Linked DNA regions of Rattus norvegicus. The protein of the gene in region 3 interacts with the protein of the main gene of each other region in a pairwise test. Links are inferred from orthologs where the notes say so. Each region holds a gene or a part of one and is shown on either strand. Other genes may lie near its edges.

The links.
Region 1: the proteins of Max (region 3) and Mxd4 interact in a two-hybrid assay, tested with the Homo sapiens proteins (2 studies listed by BioGRID). The link is inferred for Rattus norvegicus from reciprocal best matches to the Homo sapiens genes MAX and MXD4.
Region 2: the proteins of Max (region 3) and Mga interact in binary tests that used the Homo sapiens proteins (3 or more experiments, as listed by UniProt). The link is inferred for Rattus norvegicus from reciprocal best matches to the Homo sapiens genes MAX and MGA.
Region 4: the proteins of Max (region 3) and Unc45a interact in binary tests that used the Homo sapiens proteins (3 or more experiments, as listed by UniProt). The two-hybrid records come from large-scale screens. The link is inferred for Rattus norvegicus from reciprocal best matches to the Homo sapiens genes MAX and UNC45A.
Region 5: the proteins of Max (region 3) and Mxd3 interact in a two-hybrid assay, tested with the Homo sapiens proteins (4 studies listed by BioGRID). The link is inferred for Rattus norvegicus from reciprocal best matches to the Homo sapiens genes MAX and MXD3.
Region 6: the proteins of Max (region 3) and Mxi1 interact in binary tests that used the Homo sapiens proteins (3 or more experiments, as listed by UniProt). The link is inferred for Rattus norvegicus from reciprocal best matches to the Homo sapiens genes MAX and MXI1.

The regions. Positions count from the first base shown.
Region 1 is NC_086032.1:80,785,450-80,789,736, forward strand, and holds the start of Mxd4 (max dimerization protein 4), read left to right. Parts: upstream 1-1,487; coding exon 1,488-1,551; intron 1,552-1,632; coding exon 1,633-1,732; intron 1,733-4,287. UniProt on the Homo sapiens protein: Transcriptional repressor. Binds with MAX to form a sequence-specific DNA-binding protein complex which recognizes the core sequence 5'-CAC[GA]TG-3'.
Region 2 is NC_086021.1:127,387,558-127,391,057, reverse strand, and holds part of Mga (MAX gene-associated protein), read right to left. Parts: intron 3,455-3,500; coding exon 3,248-3,454; intron 1,531-3,247; coding exon 1,419-1,530; intron 1,144-1,418; coding exon 913-1,143; intron 1-912. UniProt on the Homo sapiens protein: Functions as a dual-specificity transcription factor, regulating the expression of both MAX-network and T-box family target genes. Functions as a repressor or an activator.
Region 3 is NC_086024.1:101,371,291-101,374,790, forward strand, and holds part of Max (protein max), read right to left. Parts: intron 1,487-3,500; coding exon 1,363-1,486; intron 903-1,362; coding exon of another isoform or gene 818-902; exon of another isoform or gene 145-817; coding exon 1-144. UniProt on the Homo sapiens protein: Transcription regulator. Forms a sequence-specific DNA-binding protein complex with MYC or MAD which recognizes the core sequence 5'-CAC[GA]TG-3'. The MYC:MAX complex is a transcriptional activator, whereas the MAD:MAX complex is a repressor.
Region 4 is NC_086019.1:143,703,101-143,707,383, forward strand, and holds the start of Unc45a (protein unc-45 homolog A), read right to left. Parts: upstream 2,801-4,283; 5' UTR 2,677-2,800; coding exon 2,626-2,676; intron 2,475-2,625; coding exon 2,313-2,474; intron 2,105-2,312; coding exon 2,068-2,104; intron 1,916-2,067; exon of another isoform or gene 1,773-1,915; coding exon 1,597-1,772; intron 1-1,596. Other genes in the region: Shisal3 (protein shisa-like-1a), read right to left, coding at 2,891-3,074, 3,503-3,713, 3,890-3,986.
Region 5 is NC_086035.1:9,305,097-9,309,351, reverse strand, and holds the start of Mxd3 (max dimerization protein 3), read right to left. Parts: upstream 2,801-4,255; 5' UTR 2,728-2,800; coding exon 2,658-2,727; intron 2,446-2,657; coding exon 2,340-2,445; intron 1,780-2,339; coding exon 1,750-1,779; intron 1,622-1,749; coding exon 1,507-1,621; intron 1-1,506. UniProt on the Homo sapiens protein: Transcriptional repressor. Binds with MAX to form a sequence-specific DNA-binding protein complex which recognizes the core sequence 5'-CAC[GA]TG-3'.
Region 6 is NC_086019.1:262,347,468-262,351,441, reverse strand, and holds the start of Mxi1 (max-interacting protein 1), read right to left. Parts: upstream 2,801-3,974; 5' UTR 2,754-2,800; coding exon 2,681-2,753; intron 2,022-2,680; exon of another isoform or gene 1,878-2,021; intron 945-1,877; coding exon 812-944; intron 1-811. UniProt on the Homo sapiens protein: Transcriptional repressor. MXI1 binds with MAX to form a sequence-specific DNA-binding protein complex which recognizes the core sequence 5'-CAC[GA]TG-3'. MXI1 thus antagonizes MYC transcriptional activity by competing for MAX.

The DNA.
Region 1 (4,287 bases), on a different chromosome or scaffold from region 3:
AGACTGGGAGGGAGGTGGCTCTGGTTTCCACATTCCCAGATTGTTAACAGCCCTGAGTGTGGGAGCACTAATCTCCATTTTTCTATTTCAAGGGGGCTCTGCAAGTTTCCTTATCTGCATATTGGGCATATGGAGATCCACAAGGAAGCATGTATAAGGCTGGTCATAAAGTAAAGATCAATGTTAATTTTTATTGTTTGCTACAGTAGCCCCCTTCCATTTTAAGGGTTGCTGTCTAGCCACCTTATTTCCCACACACCTCTCCTGCCTGCTGTTTTGTCCTCAACCTAAAAACACGGAGAGGATCAAGAGGTGGGAGGGGTTGGATACAAAGATGGTGTTAAGGCATCTTGAGCTTCCCTTCCCCCATGCATCTATCTATAGGCCAGTCTGAGGAGTCCGGGTAATTAGGGCTTAGAGTGACCAAGACAGCCAGGAGCTTGCTGAAAAGCTCACTCTCTTATCACCATAGCCTGGCTCTTGGAATGGCCCTACCCTCAGACCAAGCACCGTAAGCAGACTACACTCCCGGATCCCTCTCGCGCAGTAGTGTCAGTAGGTCTTGGTGCCTTTTCCTTAAGCCTGGTGACCTTCCTTTTCACCCCTGATTGCTGATCCTACCTACTTTGGGTCTGATATCTAAGAGGCTTTTAGATTCCAAAGGTCTGCGTCCCCGTCCCAAGTTTTAGCCTCCCCCAGAAGCCACTATTCAAGCAGAGACAGGTGTCATTTGCAGTTCTTAAGCAAGATCCCAGCTCCCGCCCCAATCAGGCCCCAAGCCCAGTCCTCCACCTAGACTATGGTACAGCTGACTCCCGGCAACAGGTCGTTGCGCACGACATGCATGGGCACGACAAAGCGCCGGGGCGCGTGTCCGCAGCGCATCCTGCGGGGTGTCTCCCGAGACACGGTCCACGTCCTCCTGGCCCCCGCGTAGGCCGGGCAGCAGTCCCACCGCGCAGTGCTTCCTCTCGGCAACCCGTCTTGCCCGGGCGTCCTCATTGGCCCCACGCCCCGTCGCCCGCCATTGGTCCGGGGACCCAATTTACATAGACCGATCTGGCCCAATCGGTGTGCAATGCCTACTTAACATGCACGATGGCCGCCAGTCAGCGAACACTGGGGCTGGGCCACCACGTGCTGTTGCTAAGCTTGGGCTTCTAAATTGTTACTACTGGAGCCAGCCTATCCCAGTCAAGCTTCGCATCTGTCAACATTCTCAGCCCTGCCCGAGGCGTTCGGCCAGTCCCTATTGGCCAAGGCTTGCCAAGAACCCGCCCCCTAGGAAAGAGCGCACACACCCATTGGCTGTGTCGACTGCTGCTCTACTTATGTGTCAATTTGAGGGCCTGAGGCGGAGGGTGGCGGCCCAGCGCTGGAGTCCGCGAGTCGCGCTGGTGTGCCGCCAGGCGCGGGGCGTGCGGCGAGCAGAGCCGGCAGGAGCGCGCCGGGCAGCCGCCGCCGCCGTCCCGTGCGCGGGCGGCAGGATGGAGCTGAACTCTCTGCTGCTGCTGTTGGAGGCGGCCGAGTACCTGGAGCGTAGGGACCGAGGTAGCCCGCGCCCCTTTGTGCCAGGGTGGGTGGGCGGCGGGCGGGCGCAGGGGGCTGCTGACCGCACCGTCTGTCCCGCAGAGGCCGAGCACGGCTACGCCTCGGTGCTGCCCTTCGACGGTGACTTCGCCAGGAAGAAAACAAAGACGGCCGGCCTGGTGCGCAAGGCCCCGAACAACAGGTACCGCCCCCAACCCCCACCTCCCACCCCCGCGCGCTGTGCCAAGCCAGCTCAGGCCAGCCCCGCCCGAGTGTCCCCCGTCCTCTCCGCGTCCCCAGTGTAGTCCTGCGCGCACCCGGGCGGCCGGCCTGGAGGAGGTGCCGGCCCCGCCCGCGCGTCGCCATCTTCCCGCGGCCGCGCCTCCCCGCCGCCGTAAACAGTGCCACGCGTACAGCGGCCGCGCTCGCCTATAGCCGTTCTGGACTTTTCCAGACCGGAGAGGAGTTGTCAGTTGGTGCCGACCGCTACTCCCTCGTTTGGGCCGAACTGGGGACTCCTCCCTCCCTTGCACTTCTCAGAGCTGGCATTGCACTTAGGCCCTGCACCTTATCCCCAGGAGCCTGGACAGAGATCTCTCCCTTGGTACTTACGGGTCCTGCGCAGCCTATTGACAGGGAAACTCCAACTACAAGTATAGGGCTGTCTTTGTCGCGAAGTGCTGCAGGGAGCTACTTCTCCCAAAAGTCCCCAGGCCCAACTACACTCTCTTTGCCTTGCCCTTGTGCTTGGAGGAAGCCCTGAAGCTGAGGTTTAGGGACTCCTAAAGGTTCCACCTTCCTGGCTGCAGTGGGGGCCATGGCACACCTGACACTGTCTAGGGGGCCAACCTTGGCCCAGCTACTCCTGTGTGGTCAGTGTGAGAGCTTCCCTGGCAGGCTGGGGGCTTCAGGGCCCCTTGGCAGAGGGTGCGGCTCATTCCTGTGGCCTGTCTGTTCTTGGGAAACAGAGAGGCTGGCACAAGGACCCATTTCTGTGGTGTCCTGGGCCTGGCAAAGAACTGGTTGAATTAGCAACTGCCTGAGCCCCAGCCCCTGGTCTCCTGCTTTGGGCAGTTTGCAGAAGGACATAAGTGTGCTGGATGCCTCACTGTCCCAAGCTTCCACAGTGAGATGGCCTGGCCCCAGCTTCTGTCTGCCCCGAAGCCCAGATTGAGAGCTCAGGTTCCTGTGGCATGGAGTACCCACAGCTGATAGGAATGGTAGCATTCCTGAGCTGAGGCCCTTGAATGCTTCTGCCATATACACAAGTAAGCAGTCTGACCCAGCCTTGTAAATGAAGCCCTATTTTGATCTCCATTTTACAACTGAGGAAGCCAAGGCATAGACAGATGCAATTACTCGTGCAGGGCCACTTAACCACCTTTGTTCCCTGTTCCTGGATGAGGTCCTAGCCTTCCATTTTCTGCTGGGGTGGAGAACTGGGTGCAAGGGGCAGGGGCTGCAAAGGGCCTCTCTGACTTGACTTGGGTGCACCTCCCCTAAAGTTTCCTTGGACAGAATGTACTCCCTCAAGGCCTAAAGCCTGAGGGGTGGCAGGCAGACACAGCCCTTCCCTCCTCGGTCATTGCTCAGAGTCTATTCTCAGCCAGCTCAGTTGAAAAGCTGGGATTCCAGATGTGGAAGGGAAGTTCTGAAACTATAAGGCTTCTGTGTCCTGGCAAATTGAAGGACAGGCCCTGGTATGGCAGGCTAGTGTGAGAGATGGATAGGTCACCCATGGGAGGGTGCCTGAGTCAGCCTTTAGGGTGAGGTTCTTTGAGAATGGAAGCAGAAGGGTCAGATCCAGGTGGTGCCCAGGCAGCATCTGACACAACCATGGCCTCTCCTCGGGCACAGGTGCTTTTTAGAATTTGTGTGACAAACTCAGGACGAGTTCCAAGAAAGGTCAACCCCCATGCTGCTAAAAGGTGGCCCTCTAGTCCAGGATCGGGAGCTGGCAAGACAAGTAGTATCTTCTAGTACAGGAGTTGAGGGAGCTCCTCAACACCGAAGGCTCCTTCTGCTGACCCTAACCTGCTACACAAACTAGTAGACCTACAGACCCAGTCAGGCTGCCATTTGGAGAACTGAAAGGCAATTCTTCAGAGGCCATCGAGCAGTTTCTGCACTGCCTTCTTGGCTCTGATTGGCCTGTGGAGGGATTCTGAGGCTCTGGGCTGGTCCAAGTGACTAGCAGGTTTTGGGAGAGCCTTGGAAGTACCCGGGAGAGCCCAGGAATCAGCAGGGCCTGAGGGAAGATGGGTGAGCTTGTACCCTAATGGCTCCAGTAGATGATGGGGCAGGTGGAGTGTGCACACTTTTAAAAGATCCCAGATCCAAGCTCTAGAGCAACAGAGGAAAGGACAGGTAGGCAGTAGCAGAACACAGGGAGAGCCTAGGGCTGACTGAGTGTGTCCTGAGCTTTCTGCTCATATATGCAGCAGCCTGGGGACCTTGTTGGTCTGTGGCATTCCCTTAGATTGAGAGAGCCACTTGGAAACCTGAATGACAGCTGTGGTGTTCGGAAGTCTGGTCTGGGGGAATGGGCTTGGCCAGTGGGGTTCAAACAGTCCCTGGAGTCACTGTTCCCTGGGAAGGTAAAGTTGGTCTCAGGGTTACATGTTCTAGCATGATGCAGCTCCTGAGAGAAGGGGGAGTGGCCATCGTCTGTGTCCTGCTATGTACCTATAGGCCCAGAAAGCATGCATTTCTCACAAATGCCCCTGCAAGCTGACTTGGCTTTAAAAGCTTTCTTCT
Region 2 (3,500 bases), on a different chromosome or scaffold from region 3:
AAGCCATAGTTTCTTTTCATTGTGAATTCAGGTCATTTATTTTATTCTGTAATGTTAAAACAAAGTCTTCTGGTCTATACACTGAGCTGTCAGAAGAATTAAAACAAAAAACAAAAAAACAAAAAACAAAACAAACAAACAAACAAACAAAAAAACCCACACCTTTCTCTAAAACATGAGCCTACCAAGTAACATTAAATTAGTATAGCTACTTCCAAAAACAAGGTAAAAAACAACTTAAGCAAGTTTACTTTGTTCCTTAATTAAGACAATGAAAAATGGACAAGTTCAAAGAAATTACACTATTCCTTTGTAAATTTTTACAAACACTATAACACTATAACACTCTGACTCTGTTACCTAGACCAAACTCAATTCTGAGCCTCAAGCAATTGTCTGTCTTAGTCTTCCAAGTGGCTGAGACTATATATAGATACACACCACTATGCCGACCTTAACTTTAAAAAAAAAAAACCCTTAAAAAGTTCCAATTTATTTTTCAACCTGTAATAAATTTAAGAATATCAAGAATTCGGGGCTGGGGATTTAGCTCAGCGGTAGAGTGCTTGCCTAAGAAGCGCAAGGCCCTGGGTTCGGTCCCCAGCTCCGAAAAAAAGAACCAAAAAAAAAAAAAAAAAAAAAAAAAAAAAGAATATCAAGAATTCACATATAATAGCAGTTATGTACTTACTAGAAACATGTTACATGTAGACTGTTATCAGAACTAGGATTTACACAAGCTCTTAGGAGTTATTTGTGCAAAACCAAAAGTTCAAAGTTACTACTTAAAGTTAGGTTTCTTAAAAATCATCTGTAATTCATTTAACTAGAACTATAGCCAAGAGATGTTCAGTCCACTAAAATAAATTGATGTTTAGCTACATTAAGAAAAGCAAAAAATGTTTCTCTTACCTGTAGCCTGGTCTCTTCTTCTGGAAAGAATCAAAGGTTTCCCCCTTCTATTACTCATAAACATCTGTCCAAGATCTACAGATGATGAAGATCCCTCCAGCTGTGTACTAATTCTGGGAGACAGACCAAACTCATCTGACCCCATCTTCTTTTTTCTTTTTTGCGCCTCTAGTGCTTGTTGTTTTGCATAAATATACTCTAGCTTCTTCAGGACCACTTCTTCTGTTTTCCCTGCAGGTAAATAGGAGTAAAGCATCACTCTGTGCATGATACCACAAAACAATGAGAAATACAGTTAGTTGAAATCTAGTTGATTTAATTATATTCCCCCAAACTCTGAGAGGCAAGTGATTACAATTCAGAAACTATGATAGGCTCAGTCAAAGCTAATCCTGCTGTAAGCCTGAGATGCCAATCCTAAACCTCAACAGAGTCTGAAAGGCTTGGAGTCCTTGCTAATGCTGTCACTGTACTCTTTCTTTCCCAGAGATGCTTATGTAGCTTACCTGAAAGAGATGATACTTTCCGGATTAAAATACTTCGTTTTCGACTCAGGAGATTTTTCTGCCCTATCAATTTATCTGCCTGGTCTGTTAGTCCTTGAATTTCACTGAATGCCTAGAATAAAAACAGTAACGTCAATGGACCATTTACTTGTACTCCAAAAAGTACAGGAGGCCTACACAATTTATTTAATGAAAGTATTTTAACGTAGTATTTTAGAGAACATTATAAAACAACTAATCATGTTTCAGAAATTGAATAATACATTGAGCCACTGGTTCTGGTGCTGGGAATAGAACCTCAGGGCCTTGTGCATGCTATGTAAAGAGTTCTATCTCTGAGCTACACCCCCAACTCAACAGTACTTGCTAAATTATTTTCTAGCTTATATTTTTAGGGAATGTAGAGAATGATTATTTCCAAAGATCATCACTGAGTGGTGAACAAGTTTTCCACTACTGCAAGGAAAAATATAAAATACTCATGTTCTGCTTAGATTTTAATCAAATTTAAAAATGTTCACAAAATCTGTTTCATTTCAATAAATATAAATGCTAGATGTATACTTCCCCAACTTCTTAAAAGTAATGAAATGATGTTGCTTTTGATGGCCTATATGCAAAGTTAAAACTTTACTAAGCTGAGTAGTTCATTTTCTTTTTAAATATCTTTATTAGATATCAAGAAGTGTTACGGATTATGGATGCAATTATTTGGTGGTAAAGTGCTTGCCTCACATGCATCAAACCATGTTCCATCTCTACTGGAAAAAAATGTGTGCACTAAATTATTTTTGTACTATGCACTTTACACTATGATAAACTGTACTAAATACTTTAAGGAATAATATAGAGACTAGCACACAGACTTAGTCTAAGTTTAAGACATGTATTATTCCTCAGCACCATCTTCCTTTTCTTGACATGATCTCTCACTGCCCTGGAGCTCACCAAATAGGCTAAGCTGGCTGGCCAGTGAGACTAGAGAATCTGCCCAGCCAAAGCTGAAATTAAAAGTATGTGCCACCACATCTCCCTCTCTTTTTTTAATGTAGACTCTGGAGTTATGGAAATCAAGTCTTCATGCTTGCAAGGTAAGCACTTTGTTAACTGAGCTATCCTACCACTCCTCGGCTTCTAACTTAAGACTTAAATATTTGGGGCTAGGGAGATGGCTCACCGGGTAAGACAACAGCACAGCACTTACCTTACAGGCATGAGAACCTGAGTTTGAATGCCCAGCACTCATGTAAAAAGCTAAGCATGGCTGCACAATCCTATACAACCCAAGCACTGAAGATCCCAAGAGTTCCATGGCCACCCAGCCTAGCCATAGAGTCAAGTTGCCAGTTCTATGAGAGACCCTGTTCAAAGTAATAAAAAAGATGCCCAACATCCTGCTCTCATTTCTGCATACACACACATGGGAACATGTACCCATGAGCTTGCTTGCTTACCATCACCACTACCACCACCACCACCTCCACCAACCCCCATCAATCTTCCCTGTTCCCCTGCCTCCATACTTAACAGTAAACGTGAAGTTATTTTGACTTAATTTTTTTTCTCTGTAGTATTTATTGCTTATTTACTAGTCCTGTTTGTGATACAGCATCACTCTGTAGCTCATGGCAATCTTTCTGTTCAGCCTCTCAAGTGCTGCCATACCAGGTATAAGCTGCCATGACCAGCCACTAACTTCACTCAACTGTTAAATAGAAGTAACTCTGCTTCCATTTCTCTCATATGATAATGAATTTTCTTTCTCATCGTATCTGTAAGTTTCTCTTAACTGAACTTACATTTGTGTATGCGATTTCCACAATACTTACCCGATTAAGAATGAGACTTTTGGAAACTTTGGAAGAATGAAGTAATCCTAATGTAATCTTCAATTTTTCAAAGAGATCCCTCATTTCACCACGCCGCCGCCGCTCATTAGCAGTGTGTGTCCGCCGGTAATATGCAAAAGCTTCTGTTTCTTTGTGTGGCTTATCACTCCAACAATCATCTTTCAATTTTGAAGAAATTAATGAAACCTGTCCAAAAAGAAAGTTTCCTCAGAACCTTCCTCCATCCCAAAGG
Region 3 (3,500 bases):
CAGGCTCGGACTCTGAGCTGGAGTCTGAACCCCCATCGAAGGCAGAGATGGTGCCGCCCTTGGCGTTGGTGTAGAGGCTGTTGTCTGAGGAGGGGTAGTTGGTCTGCAGTTGGGCACTTGATCTTGCCTTCTCCAGTGCACGGACTAAAAGGCAACCAAGGGAGCATGTTACCCTTCTGGAGATCCGGAGCAACCAAGTCTCAGACTCAGGGTCCAGCCTGTTCTTCCTAAGGGTTTGCTTGCTGGCCCCCAAGGCACAGGGTGGCTCAGAAGTCACTCCCTTCTGGTGGCTGTTCCACCTGCACACTTCCGTTTCCCCTTTTCCTTTCCCAGATGGGCTTGGGGGCCCAGCAGACATGGCCAGCCTCAGCCATACCACCCTGAAGAGAAGGCTTGTGATGAGACACCGTCCTGCCATGGACCCAGCATAGAGACCAGAGCAAGAGTTCCCTGTTGGACTGAGCAATGCAATGACAGAGAAGAAGCTAGCCCAGCAATGCTAGGCTCTGTGAAGGTGAAGGCCCAATGATAGCAGGAGAGGATGACACAACAGATTGGGTCAAAGAAAACTTTTGGCTTGGCTCTCATGAACAAAATCCACTTGGAATGACAAGCTGGACACTTGGAAGCAAGTCACCAATACACACAAAATACCTGGGCCTTCCAACAGACACCCCTACATGCAGGCTGCTTGGCCCATCATCCAACCCGCTGCCGCCGCCCACTGCCCATCCCTTGGTTCAGCTCAGCTTGAGCCTGGAGGATTAACCCTTCATGTTATTTTATGTGAGATGTTCTAACCCAGGTGGTTACTTGCATTTCCTTTTACTTGCATCTTCCATGAGGGAGGAAGAGAAGTGAATTCCCCAGGAACAAAGAACTTGATCAGCTCTCGCTTTCCCCTGTGGTTGTAGGAAAAGGCGGGTGTGAGCATTGGAGAACAGCAGGGGCCTGGCCCATAGGCTGCCCTGATTGGACTACTATTGACAAGGGGGAGGGCTCACTGTCCCTGAACTCCTGGAGACTCTGGTACTTACATGGCACATTCTACTGCAAGGACCTCAAAGCTCTGTTCAGATACCTGACACCAGGTGTGACCCTTACTGTAGGCAAAGAACCTGAGCCCCAAGAAAGGGAGAGATCAGGCCAGAAAAGATACAAGCCTTTGGATGTTCAATCCCCTAGCTCCTCCATCTCCTCACTGGAGGGTCTGGTCCTTCCTCAGGATGGCTCTAACACTCAGGGCTGAGGATGCTTCTGAGGCATGGTCCTCTAGCTCTGACGGAAGGCTCAGGTTTTGTGAAAGCCCCAGCCTGGCCGGGGCACAGCAGGGCCAGCTGCCCCACGAGCTTGCCTGCTCACCTTGTTGCTCCAGAAGAGCATTCTGCCGCTTGAGGTCATCAATGTCTTGCTGGTGCGTATGGTTTTTCCTTCGCATATACTGGATATACTCTGTTGCTTTGTCTAGGATTTGGGCCCGGGATGCCTGTTGCAATATGAGAAAGATTTTTAAAAAAAGAACAAAATAAAGACTAAGTTTACATAGCAAGAGAACCATGCCCTTCTCTGGCAACAGCATGAGGGAAAGAAAGGCTGGAAACAGGATGGTGGCCATGATGGAAAAGGCTGAGGAAAGAGTAGAGGTTAACTGTGGTCTTTATCCAAAGTGTCAAGCAACTCACAGAACTTACCTACACGGAGACTCAGGAGCTCTACCAGGAACCCAGGGCTCAAGAGAGCCACACTGGCTTATTTAAAACCACCAGCTGGTCTGGGAAGGCCTGGGCTTAGAGTCTATCCAACTATTGAACTTCTCTCATCCCCTCTGGATCTTTTTCTTATAGTTTTTATTTGTTTGAAACAGGGCTTTAAGGCGAGGCAGAGGCTGGAGAGATGGCTCAGTGGTTAAGAGCACTGTCTGCTCTTCCAAAGGCCCTGAATTCAAACCCCAGTAACCACATGGTGGCTCACAACCATCTGTAATGAGATTTGATGCCCTCTTCTGGTGTGTCTGAAGATAGCTACAGTGTACTTATATAACTATAATACTAAATAAATCTTTCAAAAAAAAAAAAAAAAAAAAAAAAGGCCAGGTAGGCCGCAGGACCCCCAAGTACTGGGATCGCAGCCATGAGCTACACTCTCAACCCTCTGGCTCTTTAGTTTGCTTTAAAGTCTTCAGCTTGTCCATGCCCGAGACAGGCTGGTCTTGAACTCACTACGTACTGTACTAAGTATACCACTCCAGCTTCCAAGTGCTGGGATAACTACTCCCAGCTGTATATGGTGATCTGGATGAAACCCAGGGATTTCTGTATACTGGATGCAGCTCAACTGCATCTGAAATAACGGAAAAAAAAAAAAAAAAAAAAAAGCTCAGGCCACACTGACTTTGCTCGGGCCTGGCCATAGCATGACAAGATCAAGGGCTGGCATAGCATTGGCTTGGAATGAAAGTGGGCACACTTTTCATTACAGTCTTAGACTTCACCAAACCTTCAGACTATCAATCGGTCAGTAGCTCAACTGAACAATGTTCCTGTTGTTTCACCATTTTTACCTCCTGTCTAAAGAGAAAGCTGTAAGCCCTTGATGTCAACACAGGAAGGACATGTAATTGAGACATCCCAGGAAACAGCCACACCTGTACAATTAGAGCAGGTGGTGTGGTGTGGGCCTGGCTCATCAGGGAACCAGGTTAATAAATAGGCCAAAAAGTGGGCAGCAGGTTACTCTGCATGCACTGTGCCCTGTGCCCCCAGAATCGCACTTGTTGGAAGGAAGGTTCCTACTAGGTTACACATATGGGCAGGGTTAGAGCAAGGGTACCAGCTCAACACAACTGCTATGCATATAAGCCCAAAACAGGGCAGTGGAGTAGCCCTCAAGTCTAGTGTCCCTTCCAGAGGCCAAGCATTCAAAAGCTTTGCCCTCAAAAGGGTCATTCTTGACAATTCTGCTTTCCAGTCCAGTGCTCAGAAACAACCAGAATCAGCGAGGGGAAGGCAAAGAACATACCAGTATTCAAACTAGCAAACCTCAATTTCCTCACATTAAAACATTTCTAATGATCAACTTACAGACCTTAGGGCAGACGAGGTGAGGTGTACAAGGCCTAAATTTTTACCAGCCATTTACAATTCCCAGGTTTTCCTCTTATAGTACCCTCAAGGTGATGTGCTCAAGGGGAGATCATTCACATTCATTCATTCATTCATTTTATCTGTAAGAGTTATGTGCAAGGCATACACTGTGGAGAAACAAAACGTATAGTCCCAGTTTCTTTGCCCATAGGCTTACTGTCTAGTGAGAAGATAAGTATTATCTATATGCAGACAAGCCACAGGCAGTGCTGACAAGTGTGCTGACAGATTATAAGTGTCACCGAAGAGGCAGTTCCTGGGAGTGACAACCCACCATGTGGTAGACGCCGGCCTCAGTGTTGCACACTGCTCATGCTCCAGATGAAGCAGTGAACTAACTGTGTTAGACCAAGGGCA
Region 4 (4,283 bases), on a different chromosome or scaffold from region 3:
ATTCTTCTAATATTACCATTTTCATAAACACAACACACACATACAAACACTCATTCTCTTTTTTCTTGTTTTTTAAAATACAGCCCAGGCTGGTCTTGAACCATTTTAATAAACACACACACACACACACACACACACACACACACACTTTTCTTTTTTTTTAAATGTAGCCCAGGCTGGTCTTGAACTCACAAAGATCTGTCTGCTTCTGCTCCTGAGTGCTGTGATTAAAGGTATGCACCACCCACCAGGTTTGGCCTTTAGTGGACAGTTTGTTGTTGGTTTTTTTTCACAACAGGGTTTCTCTGTGAAACAGTCCTGGCTGCCCTAGAATGCACTTTGTAAATCAGGCTGGTCTCAAATTCACAGACATCTGCCTTTCTCTGCCTCTGGGATATTAAAGGTGTGTACCACCCCACTGGCCTGGTGTACATTTTTAACAGGCCTTTATTTTTATTGTTTGTTTTTTTAAGTCAGAGTCTCACTATGTAGCTCTGGCTGTCCTGGAACTCATTCTGTAGACCAGGCTGGCCTTTAACCCAGAGGTCTGCTTGCCTCTGCCTCCCAAGTGCTGGGATTAAAGGTGTGCACCACCGCCCGGCTTTTATTGTAAAATGTTAGTATTTTTCATCGGACTTACACAGATGCACCCAAATGTTCCCAGACATGACATATTATTTGGGTCCTTAAGTCAGCGACAGAGTGCGTTCCTATATGTAATACCACATATCTTGCTTTTCCGTTTACCAATCAGCAGAGCCCTGTCTGGTCACACACGATCATTTCTCAGAAACAGCACTGACCTAGTCTGTTTAGTTTTGTTCTCTCCTTGCTGAGTATACAGGCAAGTCCCAAGTCTCTCTTACTATAAACAAAACTGAAATAAAAGTCAGACATCTGGGGGTTGGGGATTTGGCTCAGTGGTAGAGCACTTGCCTAGGAAGCGCAAGGCCCTGGGTTCGGTCCCCAGCTCCGAAGGAAAAAAAAAAAAAAAAGTCAGACATCTGAAACTCCAACACTTGGGAGGTGTAGGTAGGAAGTTAAGGCCATCCACAGCCATGCAGCAAGTCCAGGACTAGCCTAGGTTGCGTGAAACCCTGTCTAAAAAAAGTAAAAATAAAAATGTTTTTGGAAGCAAGAGAATCAGGGGTTCGAGGCCAGCTTTGGCCACGTAGTGAGTCTAAGGCTAACTAGATCATCACCTGTTTCTTTACAGCTTTGATATGCTAATGTACTTCGGCCTTATGGAGCCAAATCAATTCCTACTTTCCCCAGGTACTGTAAGAGCCCACACACCCACATCCACACCACCTACCTGCCTCATTCTTTGCCAAGTACAAACGTATACATACACCGAAGAACCACACTTCAAGCATTATTATTATTATTTTTTTGGTTCTTTTTTTCGGAGCTGGGGACCGAACCCAGGGCCTTGCGCTTCCTAGGTAAGTGCTCTACCACTGAGCTAAATCCCCAGCCCCCACTTCAAGCATTATTAATGTGTGTTTGTTACCAGTAGCTCCCGTCTGGAGCACTGTGTCTATATCCTTGACCCAGACCCAGGAAGTCCCCAACTTCTCTTGGCTCTTCACATACCTTCTCCTGAATCTGGCCCCCAATGTTCCTCAGGGACTCCTGGAAAACTTTGTTCTTGGGTTCTAGGCTCACACATCTCTTCAGGTCAAGGACAGCCTGGTCCAGGCGGCCCAGCTTCTCTAGGGCTTGGCTTCGTCGATAAAGTGCTTTGACATCCCCACCGTCCTTTTCAATGGCTGAGCACAAACAGGAGCTCTATCAGCACCCATGAGGCCACCGTCTCCAGGCAAGAGCAGTAAGGATAGATCTTGAGGGCCAAAGGAAGATAGGGGTACGAATGTGGAGCTCTGTGCTTCAGCCTCAGAAAAGGTGAGGGCAGCTGCAGAAAAGGAAAGGCCGAAGAAGTGGGAAAGCAAGTAGAAAGACGAGTGTCTGGGACCAAAGGAGGAGAAAGGGATGGCTCGGTGGTCCCAGAGTCCTTGCCCACCACAGAAAACCCATTGCTCCGTACGAGGGCCCACACCCCCCTACCTTTAGATGCCTCTGATTCTGCTTTGCTGTAATCTTCCTGTAAGAAAGATCAGGAGCCTGAGAGGAACTAATCGAGTGGCAACGACACCCCTGTTTTACTGAGCCACCTGATCCCTCACCACCCATGCCTAAAGACCACTGGCAATTGTGGGTGGCTAGAAAATGCCCAGCTGCTGCGCACAGCAGCGGCTATGGACAATCCCAGGCACAGGTAGAACCAGGTTAGAGCAACCCGACCCCCTCACCAGCTTGAGGTGGCAAGCAGCCCGGTTTCGGTGCAAAATAGCCTGGTCCTGGGGTGTCGCGCCAAGACTCAGGGCCTGGGTGTAGGCGGTCAAGGCGCCCTCGTAATCCCCGCATTTGAACAGCTCGTTGCCCTCCTTCCGCAGCTCCTCGGCTGAGCTGGCCTATGGAGAGAAAGACGGTGAGCAGAGCAGCGCGGTTGGAAGAGGAGCCGGGTCCGGGCAGAGTCCCATATAGGGCTAGAAAGAAGTGACGGAGTCCAGGTACGAAGGCGCATGTGCGAAGGGGAGATGTCGCAGGAGAATCAGTACGCACCCCGGGGTCGGAAGGTCGGGGCTCGGGGGTCCCCGGACCACTCACAGTCATCACGAAGCTGAGCTCCAAGAGCCGGTGCAGGCACAGTCACTGGAGCTAAGGTAGCCCTGGGCTCCGGAAGATGCCGGTGACTGCCCCGCCCCAGCAATGCGTCAGGGTTACGCCAAAGAAGGCGAGGCCAAGAAGAGGTTGCAAGGGCAGGGTACTCGGCCGCGTTGCGCAGGCGCGGGCGCAGGCGCACGGTCAAGGATGCTTCCCGAGCGTCTTAGTCTGTTCCCACTGGGACCTGTAGGGGGCGCGCGGCAGAGGCCCGAAAGGAAAGGCGGCGGCCGCGGGAGTTTTGCCTTTCTCTCCGTCCCGGACCACGGCAGAAGTGCACGAAATCTGCAGTCATCAATGCCATCAACAGTAGACTGTAGATGCCCAGTGCTAAGAGCGGGCCTGGGCCTCTAGGGAGAGAGGAGAGAATCAAAATTGTACACTGGCTGCACTGTACAAGTCAGGGTTTACAGAGCCAAGAGTCCCGAGAAAGCGCGGGATAAATATAGACTATGTGCGCATATTTTGCAAACAAATTTGGGAGCTCGCAATACCTTGAAGACGAACACGGCTAGATTCAGAATTAAACCCCCTACTACAATGTGTCCATGGACTACAAGATCCTCTTTATTAACACCGTCCAAACCCCTTAGGACATAAAGCAGCTTCCGTTACTTCGTTTTCAATTTTTACAGTATTGTTTGTAATTATGATTTAGGTGACTTCCTCTCCACTAGTCTGGAAGCTACAAGTCTCCCAACGCAGAATTCAAGGACAGAGCCCAAAACACTGAAGCGCCCTGTCAGTGTTCTGTGAATCTGGGGGCTAGAGTTCTTACCTGAGGATGGGTGGGGGCTGAAGAGTAGACAAGTTTACTTGGTACAGGGCCTCAAATTCATCCAGGGTACAGCAGGAACCCCCAGCAGCCTGCAGGTGGCAACAGTAGGCTTCCTCGGGAGTATCAGAGAGGCGAGGACAGAAAAAACCAGGGTAGTGGCGGCCTTCGGCATCCCGTGTAGTCTGACACAAATGGGGGTGGTGAGCCAGTGCTGGAGAGAAGCAAGACGTCTATAGAGAAGGGAGGTTACCCACATCCCTGGCACCCTGTTCAAAGTGCAAAATGGGGTCCAAGTCCCTAACAGAAGAGAAGAGGAGGCTCTCTCCACCCACCACTGGCAGCTCTCCCAATTCCCCAAATCACCCTCAGAGGATAGGGAAAGTATACCTGAGAGGTCGGTTGGCTGAGCGAGGTTCATCCAACTGAAAAGCAGTCCCACACACAGGCCTGTCAGCAGAAGCCCTGGATTCCTCTGGAGGCCCATGAGAAGTCACCTCCACCTCAGTTGTAGTCCAGTATGGGAATCCAGTATGGGTTCTAAGCCTTGGCTACAGACAGTAAGGAACCTGACATTAAAGTACCAAGATTCCCAGAAGTGGAAACTCCTCTGTTACAGGCTTGTAGGAAGATGAGAGTGATTAGGGCCTATCATCAGCTGGGAAATGTGAGGCCTTTGGCTCCAAACTGCCTACAAACTGGCTCCAAATTTCCTAAGCAGAAAGGAGGAAAGGAATGCCAAGGGAGAAAGAAAAGAAACGAACACGTAAAGCCAAATGTGTTT
Region 5 (4,255 bases), on a different chromosome or scaffold from region 3:
TGGCATCCTGACAAGCAAAACTGAAGGATGTGGCCACACCTAGGTTTTCCCCCCACTGCACCCATGGCCACAGACCTCACAGTATCTGATCTCCATTTCTTTGAATAATGGAGAGCCAAGTTTTCTCACATCAAGTACTGTGAAGTGCTGCCAACTGAACTGCATCGAGATACGAGACAAAGAGACGACACCTGGAGGCGCTCGTTAGCACTTGCTGGGCTCTAGGTTTGATTCTTAACCCATACAAAGAATTTTGGCTTGTTTGTTTTAAAAAATACAAGGGGAGAATAAGCCAGAGCACTCAGGACAAGGTACAAAAGAATACATGTCCTCACCTAGACTAAGCTACAGGGCTGGGTACCATCAAGGCAGAGGGACCCTGGGAAGTTGCAGAGTCCAGCTTTGTCTCTGGTTGGCCAGGAGAGAAGCCTTTAAAGCTGCCATGAGACCGCTTAGAGCCCAGAAAAGCAAGGCTTGCATTAGGGAGAGGCTTGAGTTTCACAGGAAGCGGGAAGTGAGGCTGTGTCCCATCAGGGATCCCAGCTCGAGACGGCCTCAGCCTCCGTAGATGTGCACGCAGAGTAGAAGGCAGCTCAGGAGAAGCTGCCCAAGAAACGGCTGATGCCCAGGTGCCAGTCAACCCCTCTGGGTAGCACATTTCATCTACTTGAAAATGAGGTCGAACAATCTCCATGGGAGAAACCTAAGCCTACATGAGAACCAGGACAACTGGAAGTGACACAGGCACGTATGTGACAGCGCAGACATGTGCTGAACAGGAATGGCACTGACTGTGCCCGGCTCTTGGAAAGAGCCTGACAGGGAGGTGCATAATAAACACCGAGAAACAGGACAGGCGTTAGGACTGAATCTGCCTCTCGGTCTGCTGTCCCTTCAATCTGACTGTCGCCGTTTCCTTCCCTCAGATGGGCCCAGAAAGCAGGAAACAGTCTTTTGTGTTGCCAAGGTAGCTTCTAACACGCCCACATGGTCCGCAGAGCCGAAGCCTTGGCGTCTGCATACCCAGTCCTGTCCACCAGGGGGCCTGCAATTCCACTCAAGCAGCAGCAAGGCCAAGTTCACTTGTACTTTGCCTCCAAGCCCTCCCACCTCACCTCCCCACCCCCCGCAAGACCAGCAGAACCCAAACCAGTAAGCCCTGAAGACAGGAGGAGAGGCTAGTACCAGCCCTCTGCGATCTGCCAAATCACCTGGCTTAAAGACAGTATTTTCACCAGCCATCTACTCCCTGCTGAACCCAACAGGAAACAGACTCGTCCAAGGTCTCACAGCTAAGACTTAAGTAATATTAACCAGAACAAAAGGACCGTTCACAGCGCGCCAGAGCAGCCCCGCGTTCTGCTTTTCTTCCACTTAAGATGGGTTCGAGAACTAAAAGCACAGGGTTGCCTCGAGGCACACAGAATGGAGGCAGCTCTCCAGCCAAGCCATCCACAGCACGACGCTGTCTCACAGGCACACTGGGGACAGCAGGCAGCTCTTTACCTGGATGTGCATCCTGGCCCTGCGCAGCAGGCTCAGTGTAGTATATCGGGTATGGTCAACTCCCAAGGGCATCTGCTGCCTCAGTTGCTCTAAGCACCGCTTCAGCTGGGCTCTCCTGCAGGGGAAGGAGTCTGGAGGGCAGTTTCAGCCCCACCTCCCCAGGCAGAGGGATGGCCAGGGAGGGAAGGTCTGAGAGAGATGGTCCTTGGGACCTGGTACTGTTGGGGGCCAGGTGGGACTCACCTCCGTTTCTCCAGCTCATTGTGCACATGCCTGCAAATGCCAAGGGGGAGAGGTGAGGGGCAGCTTGTGCTGTGCAAAGCCTCAGCCTTAGGTACAGCTCCAAACTCACTACCTGTGCCAAGTAAGGCTTTCGTGGGGGTCTAGGCTCATTTAGGACACCAAACCCCAGGTAGTGGCAAAAGGAATCAAACACACACACACACACACACCGAAAGATACAGGACACTTGCCCAGGTACTTGCAGGGTCTCCCCCTGACAGCCAGGCAAGACAGGTCCCCCGGAAAGATGTGATACTTGATCAAAACAAAAACAAAAAAAAAAAACCAAGCCTGCCAGAGAAATCAGTAGGAGGGAAAACCATTTAAAAGGAACAGAATATGCAAAAGGACAGAAAAGCAGAGCAGAGGCCTGTAGGGGAGTGCGTTCGTGTGTGTGTGTGTGTGTGTGTGTGTGTGTGTGTGTGTGTGTGTGTGTGTAGAAAAGGCAGAGGGAGCAGGGTACCTGGCCCAGAAGAGCAAACAAGTGAGGAGAATTAGACGGGCCAGCTAAGGATCAGCATCCCTCCTTACACTGCCCCATCCCTGCTCACCGCCCACTGTTGAGCGCGCCAGGAGCTTGCAGGGGTGCCTTCCTCCTCCTGCATACGGTCCCGGGACTGTGGTGTGGACACAGGGACGCATAACCGTGCTCCGCCTCTGCCAGAGAGAGAACACAGCCCGTCAGCTGGAGCCCCTGGCACGGCGTAGTCAAGGAAAGGCTTTTGGCGCCAGGATCTCCCCAGTCACTCCATGCCCGGCTGCCTACGAACTCCTATGGATGTGCGGGCAGCAGCGCGCTAGCTGCCCTCGAGCCGCGCTCCATCCAAGTTGGGAGCCAAATGCAGCCCGGGCGCGGGGTCAGTCCTCACCTCTCTCGCGCCTCTCCAGGAACTCCGCTGCCTGCAGCAGGACCTGGATGTTGCTAGCCACGGGTTCCATGTCGGCGACAGCCGACGGCGAGCGGGATAGGGATGCTGGCCCTGGCAGCCGCGTTACCACTTTTGTTTCAATGTAACTGACACGGTGCCACTAGTAGAGGGCCCGCCCCGCCCCGGCCGCCCCGCCCCGGCCCCGCCTCCGCCCCGCCCCTGGGAACTGCGTCCGCCCCGCCCAACCCCGCCCAGCCAGCCTCTTCCCGCCCAGTCTGACCCGGGCTGCAGCTCGGCGCTCTGGGGACGAGCCCTCCGCCGGGCCGAGCAGCCTGGACATTGGGTGCTGCGAGCTGCCCGGCTCCCGCGACAAGCAGTCGCGCGGGTCCTTGCAGGCGCGGGCCTGGGCTGCACGTGCGCGGGGCGCGGCCACATCCTCGGGGCGGGACACGAGCCTCAGAGACTGGGTTGGCTGGCGCGCGGTCCCGCCCTCTCCCGCCGCGGGGGCCCCGCTCGGGCGGGAAAAGCCGCAGGTTTCAAATTTGAAAACCCGGACGAGGAGGGCGGGGGCGAGCGGTGAGAGATGGCGATGCGCACGCGCCTGTCTTGGGGCCAGGACGCTGGACAAGGTAGGGGCCGCCCCGCATCTGCCCCTCGTTGGTCCTCGAATGGGAATCCCTCCCGGTTCTCCCGTCATTTGCAGGGAGGTTAGTGTCGTCGGGAAAACGTCTGTTGTTAACAGCTTCCGAAGCCAGGGCATGAAACACACCATCTCGCCCTGGGTTCGCCCCGGGTTCTGGAGCTCCTCCGCGGTCGCTGCTAGGTGTGACAACTCGGGAACGTGAGACAGCCTTGCGGAGGGGTTAGAGCTAATGCCTATGTATTGCCCAGCAAGCAAACAACCATCTCATTAGGGCCATTGCAACCAGACGGCCCATGGGAAGCCCATCTAGAACAAGGCTCTCCTAGCCATCTGGTGGGTAACCAGGGGTAACCATACCTGAGTCAGGAATGGAGGGGATTTCTCAGAGTCCGCTGGACTAGAGATGGGAGGGCGCGGGTTGGGGGGTATGAAAAGATGGTCTAGGTAAGCCCAGACACGCGCCAATCAGGCCCCTTCCAAAAAGGCTCTCTTAAAAGTCATCGCCAGAGAAATCACCAACCCTTTTTTTTTTTTTCTCTCCAAGAGTTGCAGTTACTGTGTAACAGTTTGTAGACTGAAACAAAGGCACTGTAGCTATGGAGAGAAACACCGGAAGATCCGCCCAGGCACAGAACAGGGGGATGACCCCTAATGCTCACGTGACTTCGGGATGTAATTCCCCTTGGAAGAGAGAGAGGAGGAATTGACACAGGATCTCATTTGCAACAATCTCGCTTCAAACTTGCTATGTAACCAAAGATGGCGACTTCCTGATATTCCTTCCCACTCCCAAATGCCAGGATTTCAGGTGAGCACCATGTAGCCAGCGAGTACCTAATCTTGTTTCTCTAAGACAGCACACACTCAATGCAGGCACAAATCTCATCATAACAGTACCCAGGAGACTTTGGCCTCAGAGCAGGATGGAGACAAAATTGTTCTCCAAGGAAAGGTC
Region 6 (3,974 bases), on a different chromosome or scaffold from region 3:
GAAAGAACGGTCTCCTTTAACTTCCTCCTATCAATGGAAAATACCCTTCTCTTAAGGTTTCTTGAAAACTGCATATTGACACAAATCCTTGAATCAAAATACTGAAAAATCAGCCAGACTCTACCAAAAGCGGAAGTCAGTTACGTCTCAGCTCCTCTGAACAAGCACGTTCTGGAAAAGAAGTCCATCCCGGAAGGAGTCTTCTTTATTTCTGCTAAAACCTCCATACCGACCACTTTCCATTGAGTAAGATTCAAATGTTATACAACAGGGTCCTTCCCCTCCTCCTTAACAAATGGGCCAGTCCCATTAACATAGCTAGATATTTTTATTTATTTATTTATTTTTTTTGGTTCTTTTTTTTTTTCGGAGCTGGGGACCGAACCCAGGGCCCTGCGCTTCCTAGGTAAGCGCTCTACCACTGAGCTAAATCCCCAGCCCCGATATTTTTATTTTTTTAACAAAGCCCTTGATTCTCTTTTATATCTTGCCGGGGCTATTTCTAATTTTAAAAGATTCTTCTTGGACTATCCTGAACTTGGAGAGAAAAATGAAAGCTGATCCAAGATTACTCTCAGCATGTGGCTAGCATGGGCACAGGCTAGCTACCAAGTCTCAACTTACCATCCTCTAGTGATGGGGACCCCCTACTAACCAGCAAGAACAATTTCAGTTGCCTCTGTGGGATTAGATTCCCTTTTTGCACACAGAGCCAGGGTGGTGTTAGAGAGAAAACAGATCCATGGGATTAGGCCTGGAGTCTGAGCCCCTCCACGCCTGTCCCCTCACGCCCCCTCCGCCATCTTGCTACCTGTTGGCAGTGCTGGTGTTGCTGCTCCCACTGCTGTGTTTCTGTGCCCGGCTCAACCTCCGTGGGGGCTTTGAGTGCTGTAGCCGGGGGCTCGGCATGGAGGGGAATGATGAAGCGTAGCCATGTTCACACTCTAAAAAACAGTAAGGGAAAAGAAAGTTTACGAAGAATACAGACTGGGTTGGGGATTTAGCTCAGTGGTAGAGCGCTTGCCTAGCAAGCGCAAGGCCCTGGTTTGGTCCCCAGCTCCGAAAAAAAGAAAAGAAAAAAAAAAAAAAAAAAAAAAAAAAGACCCACAGATCCAAAGGCCTCGTAGTAACACTTTTTTTTTTTAAGTAGAAAAGATAAAATGTTCCTACTCTCTGGTTAGAAGATAAAATCCCACTGTTTAGCTAAGGTTGGTACGTCCCTTTAACCCCAGCACCCAGGAGGCCGAGTCCAAGGCCAGCCTGGGTTATGCGGCAAGCCCCTACCCAAAGGAAAAAAAAATTACATACCCAGCCCACTGCCAAGAGAATGTATCGTTAACTCTTCCAAACCAAATTTCTCACTCCTCTCCAAAACCCTCTCCTCCGAGAATTCTTTAGGTTTATTTTTTTTTTACATGTGCATAGCTGTTCAGAAGCATGTATATTTATGCATGTTTTCTGGGAAGCCAGAAAAAAAAACATGGATCTCCCTGGAACTGGAGTTACAGGCTGCAAAGAAAAGCTCAATATGGGTACTGGGAACAACCCTGGGTCTCCAAATCAGTATCAAGGGCTCTTATCAGCAGAGCCATCGCTCCAGTACCAAGAATTCTCTTTTAAAATCCTAATTTCTAATACCAGCTACCCACCCATTCACTCGCCTTAGAAAAAAAAATCCCCCCAGCCAGGTGGTAGTGGTTGTTGCTTTTGATCCCAGCGCTCCAGAGGCAAAAGCAGTCGATCTCTGAGTTTGAAGCCAGCCTGGTCTACAGATAAAATTTCAGGACAGTCAAGGCTACACAGTGAAACCTTGTCCCGAAAAACCAGCCAACCAACAAAACAAAACAATCCGAAACCCTTGGTTTAACTACAGTCACCTCTTCAGTGCCTTTGTAGCCTCAACGTTTTTGCGTGCCCCAGCTCTTTTGACCACAACGTCTCGGTAAGGACCTCCTCTCTCCTGACAGCAGCATTTAGGCTCTTCACACTCCTTCCTCTGTCTTCCTATTCCTCCACCTATCTTCACCTCCAAGGCAACACCATCTCACTGTACCCCATGCTCACAATAGCAGGGAGCCCCTCCCGCAGCTCTTCAGCCGGCATTACCCCCACTCCACTCCGCCCCCGGGCTCGTACAGACCCCGCCTCCTGCACCCACACCTCCCCAGCTCCCACCCCCTTCACTCTCCAGTGCGGTCTCAAGTTGCAAGAGCTCTTGGTCCAGCGTCTTCCGCCCTCTCCTCGGGTCCGTTCAGCAGCTGCCCCTGCGCGACTGGAGAGTCCTTCCCTTGCAGCCCAGAGCCACCGGTCCTCCCCTAAAGCCCCCTCTCCCTTGCCTAAGCTCCCACTCACACCTCATGCACAAGTGCACACACGCCTGCTCTCGCTCGCGAGCTTCTTGCACGCCTCCACTCCGGAACTCACCTGCACTCCAGAGCAAACCTCCCTCCCGGCGCACCCACCTCTCCAACAGCGCGCGGACTTCCACGCTCGTGCACCTCACACGCACGCACATTTCTTCCCACACGCGCGTGCTCCTCTTGCCGCGCGCGGGCGCGCGCCTCCCCCTCACCGGTGCACGCACTTCCACACACACGCGCGCACCTCCCCTTGCCAGCCGCGCCGCACTCCCCGCGCGGAGCCCGAGGCTGTGGTCGAAGCGACGGCGTCCAGCCGTTACCTCGCTCCCTGCGCTCCAAAAACTCCGCGGCCTCCAGCAGGCGCTGCACGTTGATCATCCGCACCCGCTCCATGGGCTCCGCGCTCCCGCCCCCGGCCGACAGGAGGCGCCACAGACGGCTACAGTCCCACGACGACCCTGGACATGTGCGGCGGGCGGGCGGGCCAGCTCGGCTCCGGCTCGGCGCGCTCTCCGCCGCCCTAGCCGTGCCCGCCGCGCCCGCCGCGCCGCCTGCAGCCCGCGCGCGGTTTGTTTACTTCTCCGCGCGAGCACGGGGGAGGGACCGGAGCAGCGACAAGGTCCCGCCCCTGCCCGCCCCTTCCGCTGCCCCATGGGAAATGTAGTCCCGCCCCCAAGCCAGTACACGTCGGGTGTCGAGGGACGGGGCCGCCTCCATGCGCTTGCGCGTGGAGCACTCCGCGATGGCCTCTGGGAGATGTAGTCTTTCCTTGGCTTTCCTTTCCAGATTCCAAGAATGGCAAGACTAAAAATTTACATGACTTTGCTTCTGAGGAAAAGACTTGGGTCTTCTCCCAAGGAGACTCATTCCTTAGATGGTGCTCTGGGCCTAGAGTTCTCTATCTATTGCTTTCCTGTGAAACGTCAGTGTCTGGGTACTCTCACCCTCTAAAAGAGGAAAGTAACATTATTTATAAGGACAGAACCACAGATACTCTGACGAACAAAAGTCGCAGTTCAGAAACATGAGATCATTTAATGAGAGTCAGAGAGGACGTCCATTCGGTCCTTCTTTCCCTGTTTCGACACTCTGTATTCTTCCTCCGTGCCTCATTGGTGTTTTTAGACAGAAAACCTGTTCTGATGATATAAGGAAAGGACGTAAAGATTTGGTATTGTATTCATAGTGGACCCCAAGCTTTTTTTTCCCTCTCATATAAGATGAATTTATTTCTTCCATGTATTCACGATGTTGAGACACATGCCAGGCACTGGACCAGACTCTATGTAGACGGTACTGAGAGAAACAGGCATGGGCCTTCCTTGTTCCCAGGAAACACCTATTTAGTAAGCTTCATCGTGAAGTCTAAATGAAATAATCCCATCACTCAGTGCTTTCTACTGGCGATGGTTGCTCCTCCTGTGCTCTCCTCTCTTGAAGTGTAACTGACATCAGAGACAATAACAAGCAGAGAGCACACTCAAAAGCAGCCACTTGCTGCTCCCAACCACCACCCTCTTTCCACGTCCCTCTTCTAACGGATGTCTTAACTTTGGCATTACTGATACTTGGGACCTGATAGTTCCTTCTTGGAGCTGGGTTCTGTTCTGCGCA